Linked DNA regions of Saccharomyces cerevisiae S288C. The protein of the gene in region 1 binds, or shares a complex with, the protein of each later gene. Each region holds a gene or a part of one and is shown in the gene's direction. Other genes may lie near its edges. The genes, in order: GPI1, ERI1, GPI19 and GPI2.

What was found.
Region 2: GPI1 (region 1) and ERI1 share a complex: the UniProt entries of both Saccharomyces cerevisiae proteins name them as parts of the phosphatidylinositol N-acetylglucosaminyltransferase (GPI-GlcNAc transferase) complex.
Region 3: GPI1 (region 1) and GPI19 share a complex: the UniProt entries of both Saccharomyces cerevisiae proteins name them as parts of the phosphatidylinositol N-acetylglucosaminyltransferase (GPI-GlcNAc transferase) complex.
Region 4: GPI1 (region 1) and GPI2 share a complex: the UniProt entries of both Saccharomyces cerevisiae proteins name them as parts of the phosphatidylinositol N-acetylglucosaminyltransferase (GPI-GlcNAc transferase) complex.

What each region holds. Positions count from the first base shown.
Region 1 is NC_001139.9:921,633-926,869, reverse strand, and holds GPI1 (phosphatidylinositol N-acetylglucosaminyltransferase), read left to right. Parts: upstream 1-2,407; coding exon 2,408-4,237; downstream 4,238-5,237. Other genes in the region: calcium channel protein CCH1, read right to left, coding at 1-2,174; mitochondrial 37S ribosomal protein mS33 RSM27, read right to left, coding at 4,363-4,695; 40S ribosomal protein uS2 RPS0A, read right to left, coding at 5,082-5,237. UniProt on the Saccharomyces cerevisiae protein: Part of the complex catalyzing the transfer of N-acetylglucosamine from UDP-N-acetylglucosamine to phosphatidylinositol, the first step of GPI biosynthesis.
Region 2 is NC_001148.4:365,477-368,839, reverse strand, and holds ERI1 (Eri1p), read left to right. Parts: upstream 1-2,104; coding exon 2,105-2,311; downstream 2,312-3,363. Other genes in the region: EEB1 (medium-chain fatty acid ethyl ester synthase/esterase), read left to right, coding at 1-769; PNG1 (peptide-N4-(N-acetyl-beta-glucosaminyl)asparagine amidase), read right to left, coding at 822-1,913; tyrosine--tRNA ligase MSY1, read right to left, coding at 2,410-3,363. UniProt on the Saccharomyces cerevisiae protein: Probable component of the GPI-GlcNAc transferase (GPI-GnT) complex in the endoplasmic reticulum, a complex that catalyzes transfer of GlcNAc from UDP-GlcNAc to an acceptor phosphatidylinositol, the first step in the production of GPI-anchors for cell surface proteins.
Region 3 is NC_001136.10:1,334,823-1,338,810, forward strand, and holds GPI19 (phosphatidylinositol N-acetylglucosaminyltransferase GPI19), read left to right. Parts: upstream 1-2,529; coding exon 2,530-2,952; downstream 2,953-3,988. Other genes in the region: PPZ2 (salt homeostasis regulator), read left to right, coding at 1-2,131; THI74 (Thi74p), read left to right, coding at 3,452-3,988. UniProt on the Saccharomyces cerevisiae protein: Part of the complex catalyzing the transfer of N-acetylglucosamine from UDP-N-acetylglucosamine to phosphatidylinositol, the first step of GPI biosynthesis. Involved in cell wall biosynthesis.
Region 4 is NC_001148.4:408,619-411,785, forward strand, and holds GPI2 (phosphatidylinositol N-acetylglucosaminyltransferase), read left to right. Parts: upstream 1-1,824; coding exon 1,825-2,667; downstream 2,668-3,167. Other genes in the region: ATP4 (F1F0 ATP synthase subunit 4), read right to left, coding at 1-126; YPL077C (uncharacterized protein), read right to left, coding at 750-1,472. UniProt on the Saccharomyces cerevisiae protein: Part of the complex catalyzing the transfer of N-acetylglucosamine from UDP-N-acetylglucosamine to phosphatidylinositol, the first step of GPI biosynthesis.

The sequences.
Region 1 (5,237 bases):
TTTTTGTACTCCTCATTGGCTATTTCAAAAGATGATACCAACACTGCAATGAGTAGATTTAGCAGCCAGATAGTTAAAACAAAGATGCAAACAATAAAAAACAAACAGGCAGCCATTTCATCCGAATCCATCGTATAGTACATTAAGTCAGTAAAAGTATTCGCACTCATAATGACAAAAACGAGCTCCATGGAATTAACAATATTATCAAAACTAATTCTGCCGTTGTAGGGGTTGGCATTGGAAACACATTTCGAATATTGTGGGCAAAGAAAGCCTTTTGAAACAGAACCTTCTGATCCGTCTTCATAGATATAATTTTGTTTTCGTTTTGTTACTGGATCTAGGTAACCACCACAGAATTGCATATCGTACTGGTAAGTATCGGTAGGATCTTCAGGGTTAAACCATACACATTGTCTTCGAAAAGAGCCCTGAAAAATCTGTACTCCCAAAATCCCAAAGAAAATCCAAAAGTAAACTAGCATTGAACTAACATTTACCAACTGTGGGATACCATATTTCAATCCCCTTAGAATTGAGGGCATACCAGTATCCACGTTTACAAGTCGAAGAATCCTTAATATAGCAAGGGGCTTGAATATTCTTATGCCTGTTTTTGTATCATAACTTTTTATGGATAAAAACATACCTAGCCAAAAACTGACAGAAGATACCAGATCTATTCTATTCCACGATGATCTCGCAAAGGCTCTTGGGGTGCCAAAAGGCCTCTGATTTTCCTTTGCCCCATAAGGTTTCGTCAGGGAAGTACTCAACGAACTTCGTTGATATTTTGTCTCTTCTCCCGGCGATATGATCCTAAATGGAATAATGAAATCTATTAGCTTTCTACCATACTTTTCTCTCAGATATATGTATAGTTTCATAATTCCAGATCTCTGTAAGATTGATTTATACTCACGTCCATAGGCTTTAAACATTTCAGAATCGTCCCAAAATCCAAACGCAATTATTTTAGCAATATCATTGCCTGTAAAGCAAGCTGATAAAATAAAAATGAAATAGTCGGTCCAGTTAGAGAAACGGTATAAAAAAACCACATTGTGAGGGTTATATGTCCTTATCGCCAGGAGAATGGCATAAAATGTTAACAAAGTGTTGTAAAGTAACGAATACCGCCTATGCAACAAAAAACGAGCAATTTTTATTCTTAGCGGATTCGTAGGCGAGAAAACCCCAAGAGAATGTCCATAAAGCACAAAGGGCCTTGATTCCAGTTTTCTTTGAAGGGTTTCAAAATCTAGAATGTCTTCAGCATACTCAATAACTTCTGTTTGGTCTTTATCTTCTTTTTGCGGTGATAAATGATGAAAAAACTTTGGACTGGGTTTCTTTCTTGAATTATTAATAGAGCCTTCTAGACCCTCAGATACCGAACCATTCTGCGCGGGTTCGGGTGTTAGATGAATTGATCCTGGAGTAGCGCTTGCTCCTACATTGGGTGTATGAACGTCAGGTATAGATTCTTGTTCTCCTTCTCCTCTATCTTCTCCAACGTCTGATACAGGACGGCTTTTTTCTGATTTTAATTGGGGTAGCCATGTCAGGCCCTCTTCGTCTATTGCACTTTTAAATCCCTTTTGCAAATCTTCAAAATCATCCATATCATCAGCGGCAATTAGCGATAAAACCTTTGCCGACCGTGGAGGCCTATCCGTTGAGCTTGGTGAATTAGAAACACGCCTACTAGATGATCGGCTATAACTACTGAAGCTACGCCTGCGTAGCCTTTCATCATTTAAATCAATATACTGCGAACTAGACTTGGCAGATTTTGTAGAGGGTGAAACATTACGCCGGGAAGATTCAGCGGCACCAAATGATGCTGTTTTAAGTGAGAGTTTAGGCCTGCTCAAGTTTTCATGACTACTCCTTCCGACACGAGTACGAAATATGTTGGAGATTAAGGAGCTATCTTTATCATTTCCATTGTACTCGTCACCTTTTTTTTCTTCAGTACTGTGGATGCTGCTCTCTGGTGGCACGATATTTAAAGCTGGTGGGACCAAAGCTTGTGGTTTTGATTCTAGACGGTTACCATCTGTTTCGCTGTTATCCTCAACATTTTCCGTCATTACTGCTGCATTGTCCCCAAATGGATTGGTATTTGGCTCAAATGGTTCCGTAAGCGTCCTTTTTCTCCCCTGCATAGTACTAACAATATATTCTATTTAGTAATGCCGTGTATTTTGATTTTCCTTATGTTAGCTTGTCACCAACCATTGATTCATGATCTTCTATCTCATCTATATTTATTTTCAGTGAGAATGCCGAAATGTAGAATATGAAAAAAACCTACCAGAACATAATACCAAAAAGAATGAAAATTCCTCTGTGAACAGGAACCTTCGAATTCAGGGGCGGTTTTATACAGTTAAATGACATGCCAAATTACATTTTCTGGCCATACGAATCCTTGTTCGAGAATTCCGCAGCTCAAGGACCTCAGGTAGCTTTGGCAATTTCATTTGAGAAGACGCATTTTGTTGTCTTAGGTGTTTGCGAACCTCAGTATTTAGAAGAAGTAAGCATACGGCCCCCTTATTCAGTGGTAGCTACTAAGAACAATGGAGCGGAGGGTTGGAACTACAAAGTTGCTGATCCCTGTAATGTCCATTTTAGAATACCCAAGCTGAAATTTATGCAATTCTATTCTTCTGATCCCATCTCGCTCATCATACCAGAAAAAGAAGTTGGTCTTCATAGTAGTGTGGGTGAAACTCTGAACTATTCTAAATTAGAGCAACATCCAAGATACAAGAGAGATAATAAGAAATTGAGTGAAACTTTGAACATCATTAATCTATTCCCCGCATATTGTAAAGCATTAAATGAGCTTTACCCGTTTATTCAAACATCACAGGAAAATTTGAGGGGTACTATGCTTAATAGTGTCGCAGCTTGGTGTTCATCTACTTGTATTTATAAAATGGTCGCAAAAATTGGTTTTTATTTGACTTTTGTGATCTGCTCTATTGCTAGTCTCGTATCCTCGTTATTAAATTATTCGCACTTTCAGTTGGTAAATTACTCGGCATTTGTCCAGCAAATCGATCTTCGTTGTCAACAAATTTGCTATTTCCCAGTACAGTATGAGCGTATTAATAAGAAGGATAACATACAGAATGTTGGCTCTATGGTGGAAAAAGATAATTCTAATAGTCAATTCTCACATTCATATATGCCTTCTAAATTCTATCCCGATTATATTTTATTGTATAATACAATTTGGCTTATTATTAATGACATTTCATTTGGTTTAATATTGGGGGCCATACTTATTGAGAATCGAGATTTCTTGGTGTCGGCATCCCATAGAGTATTGAAGTTTTTTTTATATGATTCATTAAAAACAATAACTGAAACGTTAGCAAATAACCCCCTTGGCATCAAATTAAATGCAGAACTTGCGAACTTTTTGAGCGAATTATTTCTTTGGGTGATAGAATTTTCTTATACCACATTCATAAAAAGACTCATTGATCCGAAAACCCTATCATCTTTGCTCACGTTAACGATATATATGATGTTTCTCGTTGGCTTTTCTTTTGCTGTTTCCCTAGCGATTGATTTTTTTGCAATTTTAAGTTTTCCAATATATGTTTTTTATCGTATCAGCAGTAAACTGTACCATTGTCAGTTGAATATTATGGCTAGTCTTTTTAACCTGTTCTGCGGTAAAAAGAGGAACGTTTTACGAAATAGGATTGACCATAACTATTTTCAACTAGATCAATTGCTATTGGGAACATTATTATTTATTATTCTAGTGTTCTTGACTCCCACAGTGATGGCATTCTATATGTCATACACAGTTTTGAGAATGCTAACAATAACTATCGAAATATTCTCGGAAGCTGTCATTGCACTCATTAACCATTTTCCATTGTTCGCATTATTACTTAGGTTAAAAGATCCTAAACGTCTACCCGGTGGCATTTCAATTGAGCTCAAAACCACGGTTTCTAACAAGCATACAACCTTAGAACTTCAAAACAATCCTATTAAATTCAAGAGTATGTTCAGACCATACAATCTATTGTTGTCGCAAATGAGGACAAATTATTTCTCGTTTGCTACTGTACGAAAGATTGTCCGAGGGGAGTCTATAATGGTCAATAGAAATAAGCTGTACTATGTTCTTTATTCTTCACTGCCTAGTAAGCCATTGAGTGTAAAGGATTTATACAAAAGGCTGACTATTCAGGCATAACGTTTTCTTTTATAAGTAAAGTAGCGTTTTCTTGCTTCAGCTATTTGTTGTTTTATTTTTGATTTTGTATGTACATGAAATGAGTTTCTACATAATGAATATTTTTTTTAGTAAGGGTGCTCCAATCATTTTTTTTTCTTCCCCTTCCCCTTTGCAGTTGCAGCTGCATCCTTCTTCATCTTCTTAGGAGCACCTTTACCACGACGTTTCTTTGCTTCTACCATAGATAATCGATATTGCTCCTCAAGGTCTACAAATTCAATATCAGGATATAATGTTTTCAAATGTCTGAACTTCAGGATATCCGGATTGCCGTAGTAGCTTGCCACAGAAGGGCCCTTTAATCGCTCATTTAGAATCTTAGAACCGGTTCTTATACCTGATGGGTTGAAATTTTGATCAAATATCTTCGCAGATAACTCTGCTACTTTTAGGAGTCTCGCCTTTGGTACGTTCATTGAAAGTCTTATGATAAACTAATCCACGCAATCACTACGTACCACTTCGTCGAGCGGGTCAAAACAAGTACCTATTCTCCATGGCTATGTGCTCTAAAATGGTTTAGAAGTTCGCTTATTATATTTCTAACTGTTTTAGATCACTATATACGCTACGTGTTGATAAGACTTCATTTGCACATTTTTACTACAATAGCTAACTACTCTCAATTGATTAAACTTCTCAGCAAATAAAGTACATGGCTAAATGTGTGACAAGATGACACAATGAATGTATTTCTTTTTTCTTGATTTTTATTTAGCCGCTAAATTGATAAAGAAATCTGTTATTCTAATAAAACATTATACTATAATTATTAATATACTATTTGTAAATATCACCTTACTTACCACTCGACGTTGTCAGCATTTTCTTCAGCCCATTCAGTAGCTTCAGCTTGCTCTTCGGTAACCTCTTCCTTGGCTTCTTCTTCACCAGCTTCTTCGGTGGTAGCTTCTTCAGCAACTTGTTGTTCAACTTCTTCAGGGTCTCTGTAGAAGTA
Region 2 (3,363 bases), on another chromosome or scaffold:
AGTGGTAGTCCTTAATGCTAGAGGTTGCTCAAGATCTAAAGTCACCACCCGTAGAATCTTTACCGCATTACACACAGGTGATGTGAGAGAATTTTTGAACCACCAAAAAGCTCTATTTCCGCAAAGAAAAATATATGCAGTCGGAACATCATTTGGAGCAGCCATGCTAACGAACTACTTAGGTGAAGAAGGAGATAACTGTCCATTAAATGCTGCAGTCGCTCTCTCAAACCCATGGGATTTCGTACACACTTGGGACAAGTTGGCTCATGATTGGTGGTCCAACCATATTTTTTCTAGAACTTTAACACAATTTCTAACAAGGACTGTCAAGGTTAATATGAATGAGTTGCAGGTACCAGAGAATTTTGAGGTTTCGCACAAACCGACAGTTGAGAAACCAGTCTTTTATACGTATACCAGAGAAAATTTGGAAAAGGCTGAAAAATTTACAGACATATTAGAATTCGATAATCTTTTCACTGCCCCATCGATGGGCCTGCCGGACGGGTTAACATATTATAGAAAGGCCAGTTCGATAAATAGATTGCCTAATATCAAAATCCCAACTTTAATAATCAACGCAACGGATGATCCAGTTACAGGTGAAAACGTAATTCCGTACAAACAAGCTAGAGAAAATCCTTGTGTGTTGTTATGCGAGACTGACTTGGGTGGACATTTGGCTTATCTCGACAATGAAAGTAATTCCTGGTTAACAAAGCAAGCTGCCGAGTTCTTGGGCAGCTTTGATGAGTTAGTTTTATAAATATGTTCTTAGATAAAATTCCTTACACATAATAATCTGTTCTTTTATTTCTCTATTTACCATCCTCCCCACGCTGTGCTTTCCAATCCGCCGATCCACTTTCTCTACCACGATTAGATGATTTCGAAGCGGCACTGACGCTTTCGGATTTCGTTTCTTGTGTCTTTCCTCTAATCAGCTCTATCTGTTCCTGCTCATCGCGACATGCAAGTTGGTATATCTCGTCATCATTTAACGAATACCTCAACCTCTTCGTTATAAATTGACAAAGGAATTTTAAATCTTCTTCCTTGATTTGATCTCTGGGCAGCTCGTTTTGGAGGATATAGCGTTTACTAACGTCAACAACGCCATCTTTACCGAACGCAATACAGTAACTCATTTTCTTGTTCCAGTTAATTGAATAGATATATGGTTGGTCGAATGATTGCTCACAGGAGTCGACATGAACCCACCTATTCAAAAAATTTGAAAAATATTCACACCAAACATGATCTTCTCTATTCCAGACGTAGCGAACATCTAACCCAAACGACTTCAAAATCAAAGTAAATAAATTGCACCATTCACCGCATCTTCCCTTTCTAGTTTCCAGCAACTTAATTGGATCGTTATAACGAGGAAATCTAGTGATATTTCCGCATCGGTTGCATTTATAGATCTCAACAGTTCCGCAATTGAATTTAGATTCCTCTCCATTGGGCCCTTGACTGCCCAGAGGTGTCATATTTTCTGAAGTGTTCTGGCCACAATGATTACAATCTGGTTTATTGCACCATTTGAAAAAATCTTGTTTGAAGTAGCGAAGCAGCTCCTTTACTAGATAATCCGTGTATATATTTTCCCCCTCTGCATGCCCATCTTTGGCAAATTCCTTATCAACATTTTTATATATTAGATCCAGATCCAATGTCTCCAGGACTATAGAATGCCATGAAGGATTGTCATAGACTGTACAGAGATGTTGACTCTGACCTAGGACTCCTTGTGCGAATTGATTTGTATGGACTAAATTCTGAAACCTTATATTCTCTACAGGTGCAGCTTTCTTGAATTTAGACAGTATGAAATCCTTATACTTAATTAACAACATTTTGGCTATTGAATCAAAATCTATGTTATTTTTTTCGTATACCTCTCCCATTGCTACTCCACCTGTTACCTTCTTCAGGTTGTTTTACGTCTTCTATATCTGTTCCCAACGCATCCTTTTTTCTTCGCTACAATACAAGGAAGATTACACTACGCAAAGTTTCGAAAACATCAAGAAGCATAGAACAGTTGAAACTAGGCAACAGGACTGTTTCAATTACATGATTGAGAATTTATAAGCGCATGAGACCACGTGACCAAGGCTTTTTGGTTTTAGGGTTTACTTACTCGGTACTCCTAATTAGTCTTGCTACATTTTACTGGTTACGCAACAATGACTCTTTCCTGCACTACTGGTGTGTATTACTGCTATGCCCTGCGACTCTCTGGCTGTGGGCCCTCATAGCCTGGTGTGACAGTGAAATGTTCGCAAGTAGTAAAGATGAATAATCGTTTATAATCTTATTTACAAGTCAGTGCATAAAATGATATAATATCACCTCACGCATGCCTATTTTATACATGTACTTTATATACCTCCCTTTTTTTTAACGCATTTCTATTATAAAACACTTCTGCTTTCCTATCCTCAAGATCAGTACTCGATCATCTATCAGGAAAGGAGCCAAGTTAGAAATATTTTCGTTTACTTTAGATTTTGAATGATGCAGATACACGCTTCCCTGGGAAAGTTTTCTTCTGGCTTCTGATACTGAACAATTTACTAGTTTACAAATTAACTTTATTAAGTCAATCTCTCTATCAGCATACTGCAAAATTCTGGCTTTTTTACATAGATCAACTAACTTCGCAGCAGATAAAGTTCCGTCATAACGTCCAAAAATAATATTAGAAAGCGCTTCTGAATCCGATCCGGAGCCAACTCCATATAACATATCTGTGACTTCTTTAGCCAATAAAGTTTGGCCATAACGTAGACTGGGTGATTTGATATGCGTTTCCACAATTTTTTTGATTTCACTTGAGTTTAAAAACGTAAAGATCTTCAAGAACTTGGGTACATCAGCATCCAAAGTATTATAAAAGAACTGGTAAACATCATACGCCGTATTGATTGAGGGGTCAATAAAAACAGCATTGCCTGCACTTTTCCCAAATTTCTCTCCTGTAGCCGTCGTCAACAAGGGCACAGTGATACCAAATGGCAAACCCTTATTCTTTATAGGCTGTATCCTATTGATGAGATCGATACCGGCTGTTATATTTCCCCATTGGTCGTTACCACCTACTTGTATAGTCACATTCTCTTCCTTATACAAATGGTAAAAATCGTACGCTTGTAAAACTTGGTAAGTAAATTCGTTAAATCCCAGACCATTTTTGGTTTGAAGCCTCGAAGAAATTGAATCCCTCGCCAACATAGATTGTACCCGAATGTGCCTACCAAAATCAGCTAAGAAATCCAACATTTTGATGTCTTTCCACCAGTTGAAATTATTCCTTGGTGTATATTTTCCGGAAGGTACATCTTCAGTGAGAGC
Region 3 (3,988 bases), on another chromosome or scaffold:
GGGTAATTCCGGTTCGAAACAACATACCAAGCACAATAGCAAGAAGGATGACCACGACGGTGACAGGAAAAAGACACTAGATCTCCCACCACTGACAAAATCGGATACTACACATTCGCTGAAATCGTCAAGGTCGCTGAGGTCGCTGCGGTCGAAACGCTCAGAGGCGTCGTTGGCATCTAATGTTCAAGCTCAAACGCAACCCCTCTCCCGCAGATCGTCCACTCTGGGAAACGGCAATCGCAACCATAGGCGATCAAACAACGCCCCAATCACTCCTCCTAATAACCACTACCTAACCTCACATCCCAGTTCGTCAAGAAGACTCTCTTCCTCTTCGAGAAGGTCGAGCATGGGGAATAATAACAATTCAGAATTGCCCCCGTCAATGATCCAGATGGAGCCCAAATCACCCATCTTGAAAAATAGTACAAGCATGCATTCCACTAGCTCTTTCAACTCTTACGAAAATGCGTTGACTGATGATGACGACGATAGGGGGGATGATGGCGGCGAGAGCCCCTCAATGGCCAAAGTTACTCGCATCAACACTAGTTCTTCCGCAGATAGAGGCTCCAAGCGTACTCCTTTAAGACGTCATAATTCATTACAACCGGAAAAAGGTGTAACAGGATTTTCCTCGACTTCATCGAAATTACGCAGAAGATCAGACAATACTCTGCCAGCAAGTTATCCTTTAAATGCAGAAGCAGGAGGGAATGGCAGCGACTATTTCTCAAACAGATCAAACTCGCATGCATCATCCAGGAAGTCGTCATTTGGCTCCACTGGGAATACAGCTTATAGCACACCACTGCATTCACCTGCGTTAAGAAAAATGAGCTCGAGGGACAACGACGATAGCGGAGACAACGTCAACGGTAGAGGCACCTCACCTATCCCTAATCTAAACATAGACAAGCCTTCGCCGTCAGCGTCGTCAGCGTCAAAAAGAGAATATTTAAGTGCATATCCAACACTAGCTCACAGAGATTCATCATCTTCACTTAGTCCGCGGGGCAAAGGACAACGGTCTTCATCGTCTTCCAGTTCCAGTCAAAGAATATATGTTTCCCCACCATCTCCCACAGGTGATTTCGTACACGGGAGTTGTGCAGACGGTGATAATGGATCTAGGACTAATACTATGGTCGAAATGAAAAGGAAAAAACCAGTTCGTCCAGTGGACATAGATGAAATTATCCAGAGATTACTAGATGCCGGCTATGCCGCAAAGAGGACCAAGAATGTTTGCTTAAAGAATTCCGAGATTATTCAAATTTGCCATAAGGCTCGTGAATTATTCCTTGCCCAACCTGCTCTCTTAGAATTATCTCCCTCGGTAAAAATAGTGGGTGATGTTCACGGCCAATATGCAGATCTTTTGAGACTTTTTACCAAATGCGGTTTCCCCCCCATGGCAAATTACTTATTTTTAGGCGATTACGTAGATCGCGGTAAGCAGTCCCTGGAGACCATTTTACTATTACTATGCTATAAGATTAAATATCCTGAAAATTTCTTCCTCTTAAGAGGCAATCATGAATGTGCCAATGTTACAAGAGTCTACGGGTTTTATGATGAATGTAAACGACGTTGTAATATCAAGATTTGGAAAACCTTTGTTGACACGTTCAACACGCTACCGTTAGCAGCCATCGTCACAGGAAAAATATTTTGTGTTCATGGTGGACTATCACCTGTTCTAAATTCCATGGACGAAATTAGGCACGTTAGTAGGCCCACCGATGTACCCGACTTCGGCTTAATTAATGACCTTTTATGGTCGGATCCTACAGATTCATCGAATGAATGGGAGGATAATGAGCGTGGAGTTAGTTTTTGTTACAATAAAGTGGCTATTAATAAATTTTTAAACAAATTCGGATTCGATTTAGTGTGTAGAGCACATATGGTGGTGGAAGATGGTTATGAATTCTTTAATGACAGAAGCTTAGTTACAGTGTTTTCGGCTCCCAACTATTGTGGTGAATTCGATAACTGGGGTGCTGTCATGACCGTTAGTGAAGGCCTACTCTGTTCTTTTGAGTTGTTGGACCCACTGGACAGTACCGCTTTGAAACAAGTGATGAAAAAAGGCAGGCAAGAACGTAAATTAGCCAATCGCTGAAAAACTAGATATTAATGTTGCAGTTAATAAGCTCATTGAAAACTTTCTTTGGTTGTTCCTCTTCCTTCTTTTTTTCGCCGATAAAGTTGTCGTTATAGTTTCACTTATATCTTACGAGAATCTAAATAAGTAAATATTAATATTATTCAATTTCTCATTTCCTTTCCTCTGGGTTTTTTGAGAGTACGAGTTTTATTGCTCGCTTTTTGTATTTTCACTTTGCCGGCTTTTTCACTATTCCCTATTGTCTTAATAAAGTTCCTGCTTGGGCCCAGTAAACTTTTAAAATTTATGTGCTGAAAGAAAGTTGAAACAATCACAAGAGGAGAGCAGATTTGCCAAAAAAAGAATCTGAGCTGTTTGTTCCTGTCTAATACTAAAAGATATAAATAAACAATATGTATACAAAAGAGTACTACTGGTTTTCACAATATATGATAATAACAAGCACTTTGGTGCTCACCATAATATGGTCCATCTTACCATCATCGCTGGGTGAGGCTGCACCAAAGCAGTTTATCAACACGCTATTGGACATCTTCCCACAAAGAAGATGGATTATTACCTTGGAGAGCATAATGCTGATGGGCATGCTATGCACATACATCGGCCTTCTGATGTACAATGAAGATACATTAACACCGCCGCTAGATTCTCTATCTACAGTAACGGATGCCGGTGGTCAACTTGTAATAGAGGACGACCCGGACGTATTCGTTAAGAAATGGGCCTTTAAAGAAACAAGTGGTATTTACGATCTGTCTCTGATGGATGCCTGCCAACTTCTCTACCTATATGATAACGACCATACCAGCACATAGCTTTTCTCAGCACCTGTCCAGAGACATAACATCACAATCACATCGCCCCAGTAAATGCATACGCAAGATAAGATACAAACTGGCTACGGGAACACTACGCCAACGTGATTGGCAATTGTGCTCTAATAGTTACTCTATTATTGCTGTTAATTGACAATGTTTAGTCACGTGCAACACAATTCAAGTCACGTGGAAAGGCCTTCACATGGTGATCCATCTTCTACATCTTCATCGGTCCTGCATAAAGTCATAATATGGGGCTACTGGAATGTATGCACTTAACAGTACTATTATATGGTGAGGCTGTAATGCTTACCGTTTTGTGGCTATTCTCGTATTCTGTAGGCCCCCCCATACACATTTTTCGGTAACTGCGGCATATAGATGAAAGTTGAAATGAATATTCAAAAGAATATATATAATAATGCAGGAGATCAAGGAAGAATTAGATATGTATAAGAGTGATGGTAGAGGCAAAAAATAAAAAGTAAGCAGGAGAATGAATCGTGTTGGTATAGACGTAGATCATATGATAGGGGTCCTGCTTCTGGCCGTAGTGGTGGTGTTTTGGGTTGGCGCTTCGTGTTTGACTAATGAATTGCTCGAGACAAACGCGTACAATAAACCTTTCTTCCTTACTTATCTAAACATATCATCGTTTGCTCTTTATTTGACGCCAGATCTATGGAGGATAATCCAATCAAGAAGGAAGAGCTTGCAGGAACGGACAGAACGAACATTACCTATTCACACACAAGAATCTTTTTCAGAGTTCCTACCTTTACTATCTTCAACTCCTTCTACTTCTTCAAATTTGTCTTCGATAGCGGACACGAAAGTGAAGGATACAATGAGGTTGAGTCTGCTATTTTGCGTCTTGTGGTTCGTGGCAAATTTGGCGGCTAACGCTGCTTTGTCGTATACCACAGTGGCTTCGTCAACAATTCTTTCATCGACATCCTCATTTTTTACCTTATTTCTTGCCACTAGTCTAGGAATAGAAACTTTTTCGACAAAAAAACTGCTGGGGTTATTT
Region 4 (3,167 bases), on another chromosome or scaffold:
TTTTTCTGGAGTGGAAGACATATAACGGGCTCCAATCACCATCGAAGGACAACGAACACCTTGGCTAAATAATGTTTTAGAAACGGACCTTAACGCTAGGCCACGGACACCCATACTCATGCTCATTTTATCTCTTGCGCACTTAGGAGGTACTGAATTCTCGTCAGTCTTTTAATAAAATATAACCCTTCCTAGCACAGTATAAACTTGTCAACATAAACTGCTAACTGCAATTATAATCCCTTGCTATTTTAATTACCCAAACCTGTGGTGAAGGTCCGAATGAGCGGTGAAGAGAAAAAGCGTCGTGATTGGTTCAATATTGATGTCGATTACCCGGCCAATGAGGCTCGCTCGATGGGACACCTCTATGATAATAGTTGTCGCCACAGCCATTCTGAATTATATTTATCTTTTATCTACGTATGTGCCATTGTCACAGCACATTTCTAATTCTGTGTGAGGAACTAATTTAGCCATGGACAGTTTCTCATGCGTGGAAGACCTGTTATGCTGTATAGTACTGCGCCGCGTTAAAAAATATTCATGCTTGTAGAGTAGAATATTCCTATCTTTACCGGACCGTATTTCATCTGGGAGTTGCAGTTGCGTCACAACACAGTTTATGGCTATTTTATTTTGAAAATTAAGCATATATGACATAATTAGAGCACTCCTATGTGGGAATTCTTACACTTTTAATGTAGAATCTCTTGGTGATTGTTACTATCAGTTGTGTTTTGGCCCTACTATTGTAATTCCCTTATAGTGTTCACCAGCTCTTGAATGTACTTTCCTTCTTCAGGATCAACGGTTGGTCCATTTGGATTTCTAATTGCGCTGCTACTATGCATGTTGTTGCTTGTAGCTTCATCTCCGACGGATTTTCCTGTTGGTGATGGCGTTCTAGTCATCATGGCAGCAGCGGTTGCGACCGCCACTTCACGACGTTGTTCCTCTTCTATTTTAGCATTGCGGTCCCTCAAGACTTGAAGTAGTTTACTATGTGCTTGCCTTAATTGCATCAGTTTGTTCTCGAACCCTGGAGGAAACTGATCATACAATTCTGTTGCCTGCGCCTGTCTTTTAACGTCATCTAGGGCATCTATTTCTCTCCACAAATAGTCTTGTCTGTCGATTATAGGCCGTACTTCCAGTCTGTTATGTGTCTGTAGCGGTATATCTACGCTATTTCTCCGGAATTTGGCAACTCCGTTATAGCTAACACTATCGGTATCTATTGTGTCATTACCAACTGTGTTAGCACTTGAACGGTTATAATAGTTATTGAATAGACTCCTTGTCGAAGGAATTTGGGAAGAATAAGATGGCCTAAATCCTGAATTTCTAATATAGGGATTTACATTTGGTATTGTCCTGGGAAGGTCATGGATGCTGTCCTCCCCATACCGTTCATCGTCTTCATTCGTGATTTGCCTTCGTACTGAGCTTTTTTTCTGGAGATCTTTCATGAAGATAGTGAATTGTAAATTTTTGGTTAGGTTTTTCAAAAACAATGTCAATTACATGTCAGCGAAGGCCAGGTAGTAGGTGTCCGTGGCTATTGATTATCTTGATATCCGAACTTGAGACCACTTCGCGGCTACTAAATTTATGAACTAAAAATGAAAATTTCAACTTTCCATTACCTCTTCGCTTTAAACCAATTTAAAGGTACAATCACACTTTAAGTATTGTTGTTAGACGGTGGTGAATATAATCAGAGGCATCCAAACTTTCTGTTGCAGGTCCATTATCCTCTCAATTTTCGTATGACCTTAAAGAGACTTCATAGTTTATATTTGGTTATTTTCAATAGGTACAATGACAAGATCTCCCTGGAAGCGCCTACTATGGTTGAAACAGGAGTACCCAGATAATTATACAGATCCAAGTTTTATTGAGTTGAGAGCAAGACAAAAGGCTGAGAGTAACCAGAAGTCTGATAGAAAATTATCAGAAGCTGCTCGCGCTCAAATTAGGTTGGATTTTATAAGTTTCTACCAAACCATATTGAACACTTCTTTCATTTACATCACTTTTACATATATTTACTATTATGGCTTCGATCCTATTCCGCCAACTATTTTCCTTTCATTTATAACATTGATTATATCAAGGACGAAAGTCGACCCTCTATTGTCCTCATTCATGGACGTAAAGTCTTCGCTGATTATCACATTTGCAATGTTGACTCTCTCTCCAGTCCTCAAATCTCTTTCTAAAACAACTGCATCTGATTCCATATGGACATTGTCTTTTTGGCTGACCCTATGGTACATTTTCGTTATTTCGTCAACAAAGTCCAAAGATAAACCCTCTAACCTTTCCACCAATATACTTGTCGCCCTTGTTGCTGTCCTATCATCGAGGCTTTCGACCACAATCGACGTATTCTGTTTTCTTTTAATTTGTATTCAGTTGAATATCATTCTACCCACTTATTTATCGGTGACGAATAAGGTAGTACCAATAATTTCAAATATTATTGTATACTCATTTTTGAATGTTGCTCTAGGTTGGATTTATATGCTGTTGATTTTCTTTGCTTCAGTATTTTATATTACTGTTTTACCTAAGTGGTTCATCTACTGGAAAATCAATTATCATAAACGGGATAACGATCTACTAAGTACATGGGATGCAAGAACACCAATATTGGATTAGCGCAATCAAGAACATGATTTCCTTCGGATAAGCAAGGGAGGGGTACGACTTCTGCCCGCAGGGGCTTATTGCCTGTCCTCTTCCTCGACCCCACGGTATTTCATTATATATAGAGTCACTGTAATAATAATTATCATGAAACCTGACAAGCAAAGGCGTCGGGCAATTACCAAAGGGCAGTTCGGTCGATTAAGTTTGCTTCACTACAGATTATTCACATATCATACGACAACTTTAAAATTGAACATTCAGGAGATTTTTGAATGCATTGATGGGCCCTTGCACCTTAACCGGGTCCCAATATTAGAGAAACGCCCCCTTAAACTGAACACAAGACAATACTACCTGGCCAATAGGGTACAATTTGCGGCCGTGTTAAACAGGCGTTTCAGCGTCTACCGCTCCTAATTTAAAGTCACTTGTTTCTTGGTAGCAGCAGCTTCCTGTTTTCTTCTTTTTGGCACTTGGTTATGTGATAATATCACCCGGATGAGAAACCT